Linked DNA regions of Canis lupus familiaris. The protein of the gene in region 1 purifies or fractionates together with the protein of each later gene. This does not show direct contact. Links are inferred from orthologs where the notes say so. Each region holds a gene or a part of one and is shown in the gene's direction. Other genes may lie near its edges.

Region 1 (3,969 bases):
TACCAGGACTTCCCATCGATTACTTCCCAGGGTTTCAGGATACGCATCTTGGCATGGTACTCAAGGCCCTCCACAACCAGGCTGGAAGGGCCGCCAAGGAAGACCTATTCTGAGTGAGATGGTTATGCTGCAGTCTTTACTACCAGTTCAGGTTCCAAAGGGTCAGAACACCGCATTTCCCCCCGCCCCGTCAGGGAGTCGAGGGCAGGCCCTCCGGCTTGTTCTCTTGTAACACTCCCCTCCCCCAGTCCCAGCGTCTGCACATCACAGCACGTGGTAGGCGCCCTGCAAACATCTTCTGAAACGAACGTAAATCAGCGGGGACCGATCACCAGGTGACTGTGTGTCCTGCCCGGCTGCCTTACACCCTCAAGAGCTCCGGTGTTGGCTAATTTTAAAGCTATCGACACGTGATCCAAACGCAACCCCGTCGGCCTTAATTAGGATTCCGAGGCCACAAACCTACTGTGAAAGGTCATTAAGGCAACTGTGAGAATCCGAACATGGCCTTAGGAATTAGATGACGGATTTAATTTCATTAGATGTTGATTTGGCCTTAAAAAGTCATGTTAGGTATATACCTTATACTTATGAATAAGACGGTTTCTCTTAAAACACCCGAGATTAGGGGGGTATGGGCGGGAGGAGATAAATGAGACAAAACCGGTAAAACACAGCCAACAGCAGTTAGCTGTCCTCTTCGGTGCAACACACTGCTTTCGGTGAGTGTTTAAAAATTCCTTACTACAAGACACACACACGACAGACAGACACACACCCGGGTGCTGTTTTCATCTTAGGCCCGGAGGGAACCAGACGCAGAGGGTCCACCGGCGGCATCTCGGATTCGGAGCACGGCGGGGACCCGGCCCGGTTTTCTCGCCCGCCGGGCCGAAGCTGGCCGAGGGGGCGGCCTCCTCATCCCCTCCGCACCCTCCAGAAACTCCTTTCGCAGAGAGCCGAACTCTTGGAAAGCGCGCGTCACAGTTCTCTCAGCTTTCTACGCCGGACCTCGCCCCACCCGCAGGACCCTGAGGAGAAGCGAGCCCAGATCCGGTCGCTTCACCACCGCGACCCCCAACGGCCGCGGCCGAGGGCTCGGGGGCGGGCTCCGCGCAGCGACGTCACGGCGCGCCGTGCGTCGGGTCAAAGTTCAGCCCCGCCCCTCTTCCCCCTCGCTGTCTTCCTCGGCCTGCGCTGCCGCCGACGCCGCCGTGGGCCTGGCTGCGCTCCGTCCGCTCGGTCGCCTTCCTCCCTGAGCGCTGCCCGGCCGGCCGCCATGGCGAACGTGGCCGACACCAAGCTGTACGACATTCTCGGCGTCCCTCCCGGCGCCAGCGAGAACGAGCTGAAGAAGGTAGTGGGGAGCGGGACGGCCGGGCAGGGTGTGAGGGGCACGGGCCTGCTCGGCGGAGGCGGCCAGGCCGCGCTACGGGGCTGCCCACGAGCCGGCGCCGGCCGCGGCGGGCGCAGGCTGGGGGGCGGCGGCGGCGGCAGCGGGACCGGCCTCGGCTGACCTTGGGCCGCCGGCCCCGCCCGCCTGCAAATGCAGCAAATAAAACCCACCCCTGCGCAAACACGACGGGAACGCTTCCTTCCTCCCTCCCCCGGCGGGCGCCGGAGGCCGGGCGCTCCCGGGAGGCTGCAGCCTGCGCGGCCCTCCCCGCGCGGAGGTCATCACCCTGGAAAAACAGGTTGGACAGTGGCGCGCAGCGCATCCCCGGCCGCTGGAGAGACAAGTTGCCCACGCCGCGGTCGTGGGCTTCGGAGCCGAGCCCGGGCTGGGGTTAGGGCCTGGCGGGAGGGTCGCGGCCGCCTCCGCCGAGGCCTCCGGGCGGCTGGGGAATGTTTCGCGGGTGCCGCAGCAGCAGCTCCCTGTCCGCCGCCTCCTCCCACTGACCCGTGGCTCTCTGTTTGGGTGTATTGTTCTGTGGGCAGGTAACCTAGCTGTTCTGTACCCGCTTCAGGAATAAGCAAGCCGTGGGTCCCAGCCAAACACCTGAGTGTACACCGACTAAAAATAAACATAAGGTCTGATTATTGCTGTCTGCAATGCTGCGAATCTTTGATCTCGGGATTTCAAAGCTCCTGCGGCATCTGATTAAGCGCTACGCCGTCTTCACGGAGCTGAGAGCGTACAGATTCGTACGCTGAGAAAACGAGAATGCTCCTTAGGCACTGGGACGGGGTAGAGTTGAGAGTAAAATGGACTTCCTGTTACCTTACCGGAAATGCTAGTCTGTATTATATAATTGGTGTGTCTGTGAATGAAGAGTTAAGTGCTGCACGTCCTGGCCACCTCAATGTATGCAACTTCACGAGGACCGAGCCCCCTCCAATTAATCCACCGTATGGAAAAATAAAAGGAGCTTCTCTTGACTTTGTCCTAATGTTTCAATTACAGGGAAGGCAGGAGCCATCCTGACCAGAGGTTCTTACTTTGGCTTGATTTTGGAGTTTTAACAAACTTAAGGATCATTTCTTTAGCCTACATTGGACTCCTCTTTTTCGTCTGGTTACTAACCTTCAAAGGCATTTGACAATAGTGAAAATAGGGAATTTTCCAATATTTTGTTTTTCTCTGACATGGTTCTAGTATAGTTTCTGTCTGCTTTTCTGGATCAAGTTAGCGAGTAAACAGTATTGAGGTGGATAAATTAGTAAACAGTATCGAGCTATTTTTTTCAGCTTACGAATTCAGATTGTCAATCTCAGTGAATAAAAGATGTTTTTGGAAAGTTATGGTTTTAAAACATTGCCTCTCAGAAAAATGGGATATTTAGTACTCCTAAATCTTTAAATTAGATTTTGTATGTAACCTTTTTTGTTTGTTTTTTATTTTTTATTGAAGGCATACAGAAAGTTAGCCAAGGAATACCATCCTGATAAGAATCCAAATGCTGGTGACAAAGTAAGTTATTTGAGGACTCCCCCTCCCCCCCCCCATGAGGTTTCAGTTTTAAATTGCCCTCCCTGAAAAAAAGAGGAATGTTTGTAAAGAAAAGTCCCATCTGTTCCCATACAGCCAAATTTTTACATAAAGAGTATTTTGGTTTTGTAATGGGAATGCTAACATTCCAGGCAGTGGTGGGTGGGAGGTAGGACCAGAATCAAACCAAAGGTAATTTATAGCTTTTGTTAGAATAACTAAATTCCAGATTCCTGTAGCCTTTCCCCCACTCCTCTACTTGAAAACCCAATTGTTTTCCTTGTTACTTTTTTTTTTTTTTTTTATAGTTCAAAGAAATCAGTTTTGCATATGAAGTACTGTCAAATCCTGAGAAACGTGAATTATATGACAGATATGGAGAACAAGGTCTTCGGGAAGGTAGCGGTGGAGGTGGTGGCATGGATGATATTTTCTCTCACATTTTTGGTGGAGGATTGTTCGGCTTCATGGGCAATCAGAGTAGAAGTCGAAATGGCAGAAGAAGAGGAGAAGACATGATGCATCCACTTAAGTGAATATCTTTTTTTCTTTTTCTTTTTTTTTAATTAAGTACAATTTTTTCAAGTAGTAATGCTTAGTAATGAGAAAGGCATCAAAAATGTTCCATCCGTTGTCAGAAAAAAAAAATCTTCATTTCCTTACTGTTCTCATTGGATGACTAAATTGAATTTGATAACCTGGGTTATTTTGCTACAGATCTTAAAGGGTGGTTGATATTTCTACTGAGTAGGCAGCTGGTTTTGTTAATATTGATCTGAAGCCACTTGTTACTATATGATTTAAAATTTCAATTTTGAAGATTATTTTCTTTTAAGTATTTAAATTTTCCAAGTTACTTTTTATTCAAAAACTTACAAAGTAAGTGACTGACTAGTTTGTTTACATGTTACAGTCACTCATTACTTGATCCTCAGTGTGAACTCTCCTAAATTGGTTTCCATGGAGCTTGTTGGCTTCTAGCCTGACTTTAACCTGCCAACATATGAATGGTGTCTGACCTTGGTCTTAGACTGAACCCA
Region 2 (4,246 bases), on another chromosome or scaffold:
GCTTGACCTTGGAATGAGGGTCAAGAGCAAAGGACCCTGTCCAGATGAGGCTGTGCTCCCCAGTGGGATACTGCCTAAGGAAAGGACGGACCCTTGGGGATTCCCCCTCCTGAGATTCTCCAGGGAGTGCCCTGAGAACCAGAGGGCCTGAGGCTTCCCAGTTGGGAAGCTGCCCCCAGGACTTTGGACACTTATAGGTTGGGCTGTACGAACTCAGCAGGTCTCACTCTCGAGTCAGAATGTGAGTCTGCTATTGTTCATTAGTTTTATTCCTTGAATCAATGCTGTTGATGACAAGTTGTCTTTAATAAATCATGTGTTCTTTGCAATGGGCATTGGTGCTGTGATGGGCTGAAACCTTTTGAGACCTTAGAGGAGGGAAAGTTTGAGTAGGGATGGAGTCAGGAGGCTCTGAGACTCGGCAAAGAAGGTCAGGAAATTCTTTTTGGAAGAGCCTGTTCAAGTCTTCTCATTCAACCACTGCAGTTTGCAGCTGGAGGCCAAAGGCCAGTGAGCTTGGGACAGAGGTGCTATGCACTTGATTACACAGCAAGTTGTTTTTGAGATTGACGAAACTGAGAATTCAAGTAAATAAAATGCATACTACCCACAATCTAAAGAAAATCACCAAGAACACGTTAGTTTTTGCTACATCGTTGTCATTTTCTTGATACAGTTTGTGTACTGTCTCTTCCCTCCCTTAGGTGGTAAGCAAGTTGCTGTATGATTTAAAATATATTTATGTGCTATATAGAATTCACACATGCTAAAAACGTCTGAGTCCAGCCCCTATCTTGGACTATTTTGGTTATTTCAGCCTTCATTATGAGTAATAATACTGTGGAGAAGGGTTTCTGTTCAAGATCCTTGCATTCCAGATTCATTTCCCCAGCTCAGTCCTCTAAGTGGATTGAGAAGTATGAACCTTTTTAAGACTTTTATATATACTGCCAAACTGCCTTCTAGAATCGTGCCAGTTTTTCTTCCAACCAGCAGTGAGCATCAGCCCCTACGCTGTCCTCTTGCCGCTTGTTAAAACATTTGCCAGTGTCCTAGAACTTTTGACTTAACTTTGTAATGTTAGGGGGGGTGGATTTTGGTGTCAGGCAGACCTGGGGTCTTGTCCTTGTTTCCTTGTTCTGCCAACTAGAGACTCCGTCTCAAGGCTCTTTTAAAGATTAAGTCTAGTACTGGAAATGGTAGTTCAGTACCTAACACTTGGCGCTCCTGAAGCTGGAGCTCCTACCACCCGCGGAGGGGCCTCCTGCTGCCCGAGGGGGCTGGGCGGAGGGCGGGGCTGGGCGGCGGCGGCCAATCACGAGCCGGGGAGGTGGCACGCCCTCCCCCCCCCCCTTCCGCGCGTCTTAAAAGGGCAAAGCAAGGGCGCCGGGACGTCAGCTCGGCGCCAGGCCTCACCCTCCGTTGGGCTCCCCAGTTCCCCGAAGCGCCTGTGAGTAGAAGCGGCGGGCATCCCCCGCTCTCACGCCCCTCCCCGACCCCCTCCCCGCGGTGGGCCCCGCAGTCCCGCGCAGCCCCTTTAAGAGCCTCGAAGGTCGCGGCGGCCCCCAGGCGTCGGCGACTGCGCTCCACCGGCGCTCGGGCCAGGCTCCCCGCCATGCGGGCGCTGCGGGCCGCCCTGACCCTGGCGCTGGGCGCGGGGCTGGGCGCGGCGGCCGAGGGCTGGCGGCGGCGGAGGGCGGACGCGCGGGCGGCGCCGGGGCTGCTGGGCCGGCTGCCCGTGCTGCCCGTGGCCGCGGCGGCCGAGCTGCCCGAGGTGCCCGCGAAGCCCGGGGCCCCGGCGGGCGCGAGCGAGCTGGCCAAGTACGGGCTGCCGGGGCTGGCGCAGCTCAAGAGCCGCGAGTCGTACGTGCTGTGCTACGATCCGCGCACCCGCGGCGCGCTCTGGGTGGTGGAGCAGCTGCGGCCGGAGCGGCTCCGCGGGGACGGCGACCGCCGCTCGTGCGACTTCCGCGAGGACGACTCGGTGCACGCGTACCACCGCGCCACCAACGCCGACTACCGCGGCAGCGGCTTTGACCGCGGCCACCTCGCCGCCGCCGCCAACCACCGCTGGAGCCAGAAGGCCATGGAGGACACCTTCTACCTGAGCAACGTCGCGCCGCAGGTAGCGCCCGCGCTCGCCCCCCTGAGCCTCTCCGAACCTCGGCTGCGAAGCTGCCGAGTGCGGGCGCCGGGTCAGGTGCCTGGCTGCTCACCCCGCGCGCCGGGCGGGAGGTACACTGCACGGGGCACCCAACACCCGCCTGCAGTCCGACCTCTACTGTGCGCCTCTGGGCACCTCCCTGAGCTTGTTTCCTCGCAGTAGCGCGGAGAAAGAAGACGATGTACACATAAAGTACCGAGCTCGCTTCCTGGCCGGACGCACTCAGCATGCATGCATGCTAGCTGTAAAGAAGGAACTGAGGCAGGGAGGCCAAGTGACTGGCCCATTGTCACACAGCAGGAGACCCAGGCAGTCGGTCTAGAGGACCTTGAGCTTTCAGCCATTGTCCATACTCTGCCTGCCTCCCAGGAGCCAAAGGAAAGTAACTTGCAAAGTCCGCTGGTAGCCATCACTGTGTGCCCTCCGCGGAGCAGGGCCTGGAGACTTGCCCCCTGGGCTCCGGGTGAAGCTAATGGGGTACGAGGCTCCTAGGACTTCTGCTCTCCAAGTGCTGCAGTTGCCTGCCCACTTGACCAGACACTGGAATGAATGCTCAAGAGCGGGAAGTCAGGAGCAGCCCCAGCTGGGCTCTGCATGTGCTTCAGATCTAGAAAGGAAAGGAGAGGGTAGGGCTAGAGAGCTGGCCTTCCCAAGAGCTCCTGGGCATGGGGGGAGGGGGGCTCAGGAGGAGAGGCTTGTTTCTCTCTCTGAAGAGGAGAACTGCCCCTTTTCCTCAGTGTGGCTCTTTGGGGGTGAGAAACGGTTTCTGGCTCCACCCTCATGGCCAGGTGGCCTAAAGGCGTCTCCCTCCTTGAACCTGTTACCTCAGCACACTTGCCCACCCCATGCTTGCCCACCCCTTTCCCCATTGGACTGTCCCCATTTGGTGCCAGTTCCTGCCCATGTGACAACAGGGGAAGGGCCCCAGCCAGTCTCCCTGAGCCCCACCTCTCCAACCAGGTGCCCCACCTCAACCAGAATGCTTGGAACAACCTGGAGAAGTACAGCCGCAGCTTGACCCGCACCTACCAAAATGTCTATGTATGCACAGGGCCGCTCTTCCTGCCCAGGTAAGGCTCGAACTGGGGGGCCCCGGGATGCCAGGGTCTCTCCCATACAGTAGAGGCCCTCCTGCCACTCACAGCATCCAGGCCTGCCTCAACCTCTGGGTCCTCATGCAGTGCCAGGTCATGTCATCTGGTTTCTTGGCATGTCTGTCTGTTCTGTGCTTCAGGCCCCCTAATTCCAGGACTGTAGCGAGACCTGTGGGGTACCCACCTGGATCGTCTCTCCTGCCCCCAGCACCAGGCCCCAAACATGTCTCTGCTCCTCTCTTTTCTCACTTCTTGCCACATACACCTGACTCTGTTTCTGTCCAGATAGAAAAGCCTAGCTAGCACCAGGCTCTTGCCTTGTCTGCTCTGCTTGGAGCAACCCTCCTCACCCTTCTCCTGGAGCCACGGTGTGACCTCCACCTCCTCAACCCTGAGCCTTCACTCTTGTCTCTCGGCAGCCCTGCCTCCCAGGTAGAAGGGACCGAGCTCCCCTGGGCATGCTCAGTGATTTTTCTGGCCCAATGAAGACTGAGATCAGGGAGGCAAAGGGTTGTGGGGAAGCCGCTGGCTCTGGAGTCCACAGGTCTGAGAGAGAACCTAGGCCCTACCACCTGGTCTCTGGATGCCATGGGCAAATGACCTCCATATTCTCTCCTGTAAAATGGGGATAACAGCTACTTACTACCTACCTCGTGGTTGCTTAGGGGTAAAGTGGGGTGCTGGAGGTCATTGTAGTGAGTGCTTAGGATGGGCCAGCCGAGGCACTGATAATCAGCAGGTGCCTCCTATGGACTGTTGGAATGGAGTAGACCCTGCTGAGGGGAAGACTGGAAGTCCCTCATCCTGTGTTCTGGACCCCAGGCCCTGTGATGGCACTGGGAATTCTGGGTCATGTGCCTTAGCCTCTTGAAGCTCCCTCACCACAGGGGAGGTGGCCAGTGATCATGCGTCTGTGCGAATGAAGGTGAATGCCCACAAGGCCTGAATCTCTCAGCAGCATTTATTGCCACCACCCACCCTTGCTTGG
Region 3 (3,940 bases), on another chromosome or scaffold:
CAGGCCCCACGTTGCTTGGTAGCTACCTTAGGATCAGAAGTCGGGCCTGCCTCCCTGGACACAGCTGGGGGGCGGGGCGGGGGGCGGCTGGTGCTGGCCCATAGGCCCCACCTAAGCTCCTGGGAGTTCCCTCCTGCCCAGCCCTGAGCGGGGGCAGCCTATCCTCAGCCTTGGAAGGAAAGGTTCGGCCTTGAGGCCACGGTCCAGAAGAGAAAAGGCGGCCTTCGAGGTGGGTGGGGACAGGCCGATAGTCCCTTGGAGAGTGGAGGCGGGGTGCAGCTTTGTTTATATAGTGTTGCGTGCAGGGGAGGCCCTTCCCCCACCCTGGAAGAGCCCAGATCCAATCTCGGTTCGCCCCAAACGCCACCTCCGGAGGCAGGGCCTCTTACCTGCCCCTCTCTAGCTGGATGGCCCGTGAATCCCGCGCTGCTACGCGTAGCCTTTTACGATGGACCCTGAAGGATGTGTAGGAGATTCCCAGGGGCGAGGGACTGGGGAGGGCATTCCTGACTGACCACCAGTGGAGCAAAAGCGCGGTGGTGGGAGGTGTTCCGGCACACTTGCGAACAAAGCGCTGCCCCGTGGAACTGTATACCTTGGCAATCACTGGGCCGTAATGTAGGTGGGGAAACTGAGGCTGGGGGGCCGAGAAGTTGGATCTGTCAGAACTCTCCCGGCTCTCGGGGCAGGTCCTCCTCATTACCTGAATAAGCACGCCGCTCCTCCCTGGGGGAAGGAAAGGCCTCCTCCAAGTTCGGGAACACCCGTCAGCCCCCTCCAAAGCTTGTCCCCAGCCGCCCACGCAGGAAGCCTGGCTCGCGGACTACAATCCCGGCAGGACCCGCGCCGCGGCGCATGCTCGGCGGGAGCACCTTCGCGAGCCCGGCCGAGCCCGGGGGCCCAGTCTTCCCCCATTGTCTGGCCGACAGGGGCGGGGCGAGCGGCACCGGGGCACACCCATTGGTCGGGTTGTACGTCAGTCGCGCTCTGCGTCCGCCCCCGTGCAGGCCCCGCCCCGCGCGCCCGCGTCCGGGCCGCCTGGCGCCCCGCCCGCGCCTCAGGACCCGCGGGGCCGCGCGGCGCATCCTGCGGGCGGCGGCGGCGGCGGCGGCGGGCGCGGCGCCGGCAGCCGGACGCAAGATGATGAAGTTTCGGTTCCGGCGGCAGGGCGCTGACCCGCAGCGCGAGAAGCTCAAGCAGGAGCTCTTCGCCTTCAACAAGGTGCGGCGCGGCGGTTCGGGCAGAGGGAGGGGGCGGGCCGGGGGCCCGAGCCGGGGGCCCGAGCCGGGGGCGCGGGGGCCGGAGCCACGTCGGGCCCGGGGGGAGGGGGCGCCCGGCCGAGGCGCGGCGCGGGGGCCGGGTCGCGCGCCCGTCGGCGGGCCCCACTTCTCGCCTCCTCCTCGGCTCCACTCCCGGACCCTGGGTGGGTCTGGGTCCCCTGCTGACTTTCCGAGTCCGCTCCCCCGGGTCCCTGTGGGCCTCGCTGGCCCTGGCTCTGCGGGTCTCCGTGTCCCTGGGTCGGTGTCTCTCTCTGTCCCTGTGCGACTCTTTACATGTCCTGGGTCTCTGCCCCGCCTCGGTCTGTGATCACCTCCTGTCCTAGCCTATCCTATGCCTGTGTCTGGGGAGGGGGTGTCTGCCTCTGTCCCTGTGTGTCTCTGCGTATCCCTTCTCTTTCTTCGTCTCTCTGTCTCTTCATCTCTGAGTCTTTGCGTGTCTCTTCGCCTCCATGTGTCTCCGTAAGGTCTCTGGAACTCTCACTCTGGCTCTCGGTCTCCGTCTCTTTATCTCTCTTCCTTTGGGGGCCCTCGGAGCCCCCGCTCAGCCCTTGGGGCAGCCCAGGGCCCCAGTTTGTTTTGCTTTCGCACCCAGGCCAGTGGGGAGGGGTGAGGAACGGAGGCAGATGTTGGGGGGTGGGGCTGGGAAATCCTTTCCCTGTTTCTTTCGTCCCCTCCCCCAAGGCCCGGGGCTCTGCCTTGGGGGCTCTGCCCTGCCCTGTTTTGCTGGGGGCTCCAGAGAAGATGCCTGGCTGTGTAGATGAATACACTCCTGGGGCCTCAGTTTTCCTTGCTATAAAACGGGGCCACCTTTTTCCCTGCTCTGGCTCCCTGTATCACATGGGCCTGCTGACCTATCCTTTGGGCCAACGTGGAGAGATGGTTGCTCCTTCCTTTCTTTTCCTGGGTAGGGCAAGAGGGGCCACAGTACTGAGGCTACCTTCCACTCCCTCCTCCCCTCCACCTTTGCACCCATGCGTGGTTGATCCGGGCCCCAGCCTTTCCCTTGCTAACTTCTGGGGTGTTGCTTCCGGGCTCAGTTTTACTCCAGACCTCTGATTGCACAGCCCCTCACTGCTCTTGGGGATTAGAGTTACTATCCCCATCATATAGGTGAGAAAATGGAGATTCAGAGAGGGATGACGACTTGCCCAGAGTCAGAGAGTGAGTCGGGGCACTCTGTCCTCGTGGACCCTTGTCGATGAGGTTTGACTTTAGCTTTGAGGTGCAGGGGTTTTTGGAAGGGCTGCTGTAGTCCTGAGCCAGACTCCAGGAGACTCTTGTTTAAGAGAAAGCTCTAGGATGGCTGGATCTGAAGTGGTCAAGGTGGAAATGTCCTTTGGGGCAGGCAGGGTTTCCTGGTGATGGCGGCTGCTGGGGCCTTCGACATGGTGGCTGAGAACTTGCAGGGGCCTGGGAGGCCCAGAAGGGTGGCTGGTGCCCGGGGTCTCCCCGCTGGTCTCTTTCATATGCTGGGTGGCTGTGAGCAAGAGCCCCTGTGAGGTGAGAGGAGAAGGATGCTGGGGGTAGGTGTCACTTCATCAGCCAGTGAGTCGGGGTGTGAAGTGGAGATAGTGGAGATAGATGGTGGCGAGGCTGGGCTCCTCCTGACTGGCCTTGGGTCAGCAGAAGCCAAGGGTTCCCTGCTAAGGCCAGTGAGGCCCTATTCTGAGTAGGTGGCATTGGTGGGAAGGGTGAGGCTTGGGGTAGGGGCTTGCTCACACGAGGAGATAGGTGATCACTAGAGAACAAATAGATCCCAGATTCCCGAGTGGTGGGAAGGGTCAGAAGCAAGCATGGACCTTGGACTGTCTTGCATCCGAATCTCTGTCCTGCCCATAGCTTGCCTGTGGGATGTCTACTCTATGTCAGTTTAACAATCTTGAGCTCCTACTGTGTGAGGGGCCCCCTTCTAGGTATTGGGGACACCACAGTGACCAAGAGAGACAAATGCCTCTTCGGGGTGCTGATATACTCATGGGGGATATAGTAAAAAGCCACAGCAAAAGAGTAAAATGTGCAGCAGTTTGGATGATGACCAGTGCTGTGGTTACAGTAAAGTGGGGTGAGGGTAAGGAGTATGGGAACAGGGAGGCTGCTAGAGCAGGGTGGTTTAGGGAGGGCTTTGAGGAGTTGACTCCTGAGCTGAGAGCTGAGTAATGGAGAGGAGCCCTCTTTGGGCACTGCTGGGTGTCCAGGTAGATGGACAGTAGATGCAAAGGTCCTGAGGCAGGAGCCTGCCTAGTAAATTGGAGGAGAGCAGAAGGGCATTGGCCCAGCAGTCAAGCTAGGGGAGGGAGGGAGGAGGAGGGCAGACAGGGGCCAGGTGGTGAGGTAGGAGCCCCAAGAGGGTCCTGAGCAGAGGAAGGGACTGGCTAGACCTGGTCAGCTCTGGTATGAGCATGGGAAGCTCTCCCCCTGCACCCCCAGCCAAATGGGCTACTCTGTCCTCAGGTGGGCTCACTGCCCCTAGTGAGCACATGGGACACTGAGGTGTCGAGAATGTTTTGACTAGCCTGAATCCAACCAAGCAGGCTGCAGAGAGAGCTCAGTCCCTTCCTGGATTAGTTGAGGCAGGAGGGAGGCTGGGCCAACAGGCCTGCGGACCACAGTTTTCTTTTGAAATGTATGTCTTCCTGAGGCACTGGTCAGGAGACAGCTGG

The links.
Region 2: the proteins of DNAJA2 (region 1) and ENDOG purify together in Homo sapiens (affinity purification with mass spectrometry; 3 studies listed by BioGRID and IntAct, with this or other methods). This does not show direct contact. The link is inferred for Canis lupus familiaris from reciprocal best matches to the Homo sapiens genes DNAJA2 and ENDOG.
Region 3: the proteins of DNAJA2 (region 1) and LLGL1 purify together in Homo sapiens (co-immunoprecipitation; 3 studies listed by BioGRID and IntAct, with this or other methods). This does not show direct contact. The link is inferred for Canis lupus familiaris from reciprocal best matches to the Homo sapiens genes DNAJA2 and LLGL1.

Annotation. Positions count from the first base shown.
Region 1 is NC_049223.1:67,287,033-67,291,001, forward strand, and holds the start of DNAJA2 (dnaJ homolog subfamily A member 2), read left to right. Parts: upstream 1-1,162; 5' UTR 1,163-1,279; coding exon 1,280-1,357; intron 1,358-2,851; coding exon 2,852-2,911; intron 2,912-3,237; coding exon 3,238-3,461; intron 3,462-3,969. UniProt on the Homo sapiens protein: Co-chaperone of Hsc70. Stimulates ATP hydrolysis and the folding of unfolded proteins mediated by HSPA1A/B (in vitro).
Region 2 is NC_049230.1:54,897,847-54,902,092, reverse strand, and holds the start of ENDOG (endonuclease G, mitochondrial), read left to right. Parts: upstream 1-1,446; 5' UTR 1,447-1,615; coding exon 1,616-2,125; intron 2,126-3,124; coding exon 3,125-3,234; intron 3,235-4,201; exon of another isoform or gene 4,202-4,246. UniProt on the Homo sapiens protein: Endonuclease that preferentially catalyzes the cleavage of double-stranded 5-hydroxymethylcytosine (5hmC)-modified DNA.
Region 3 is NC_049226.1:41,543,643-41,547,582, reverse strand, and holds the start of LLGL1 (lethal(2) giant larvae protein homolog 1), read left to right. Parts: upstream 1-1,140; coding exon 1,141-1,221; intron 1,222-3,940. UniProt on the Homo sapiens protein: Cortical cytoskeleton protein found in a complex involved in maintaining cell polarity and epithelial integrity. Involved in the regulation of mitotic spindle orientation, proliferation, differentiation and tissue organization of neuroepithelial cells.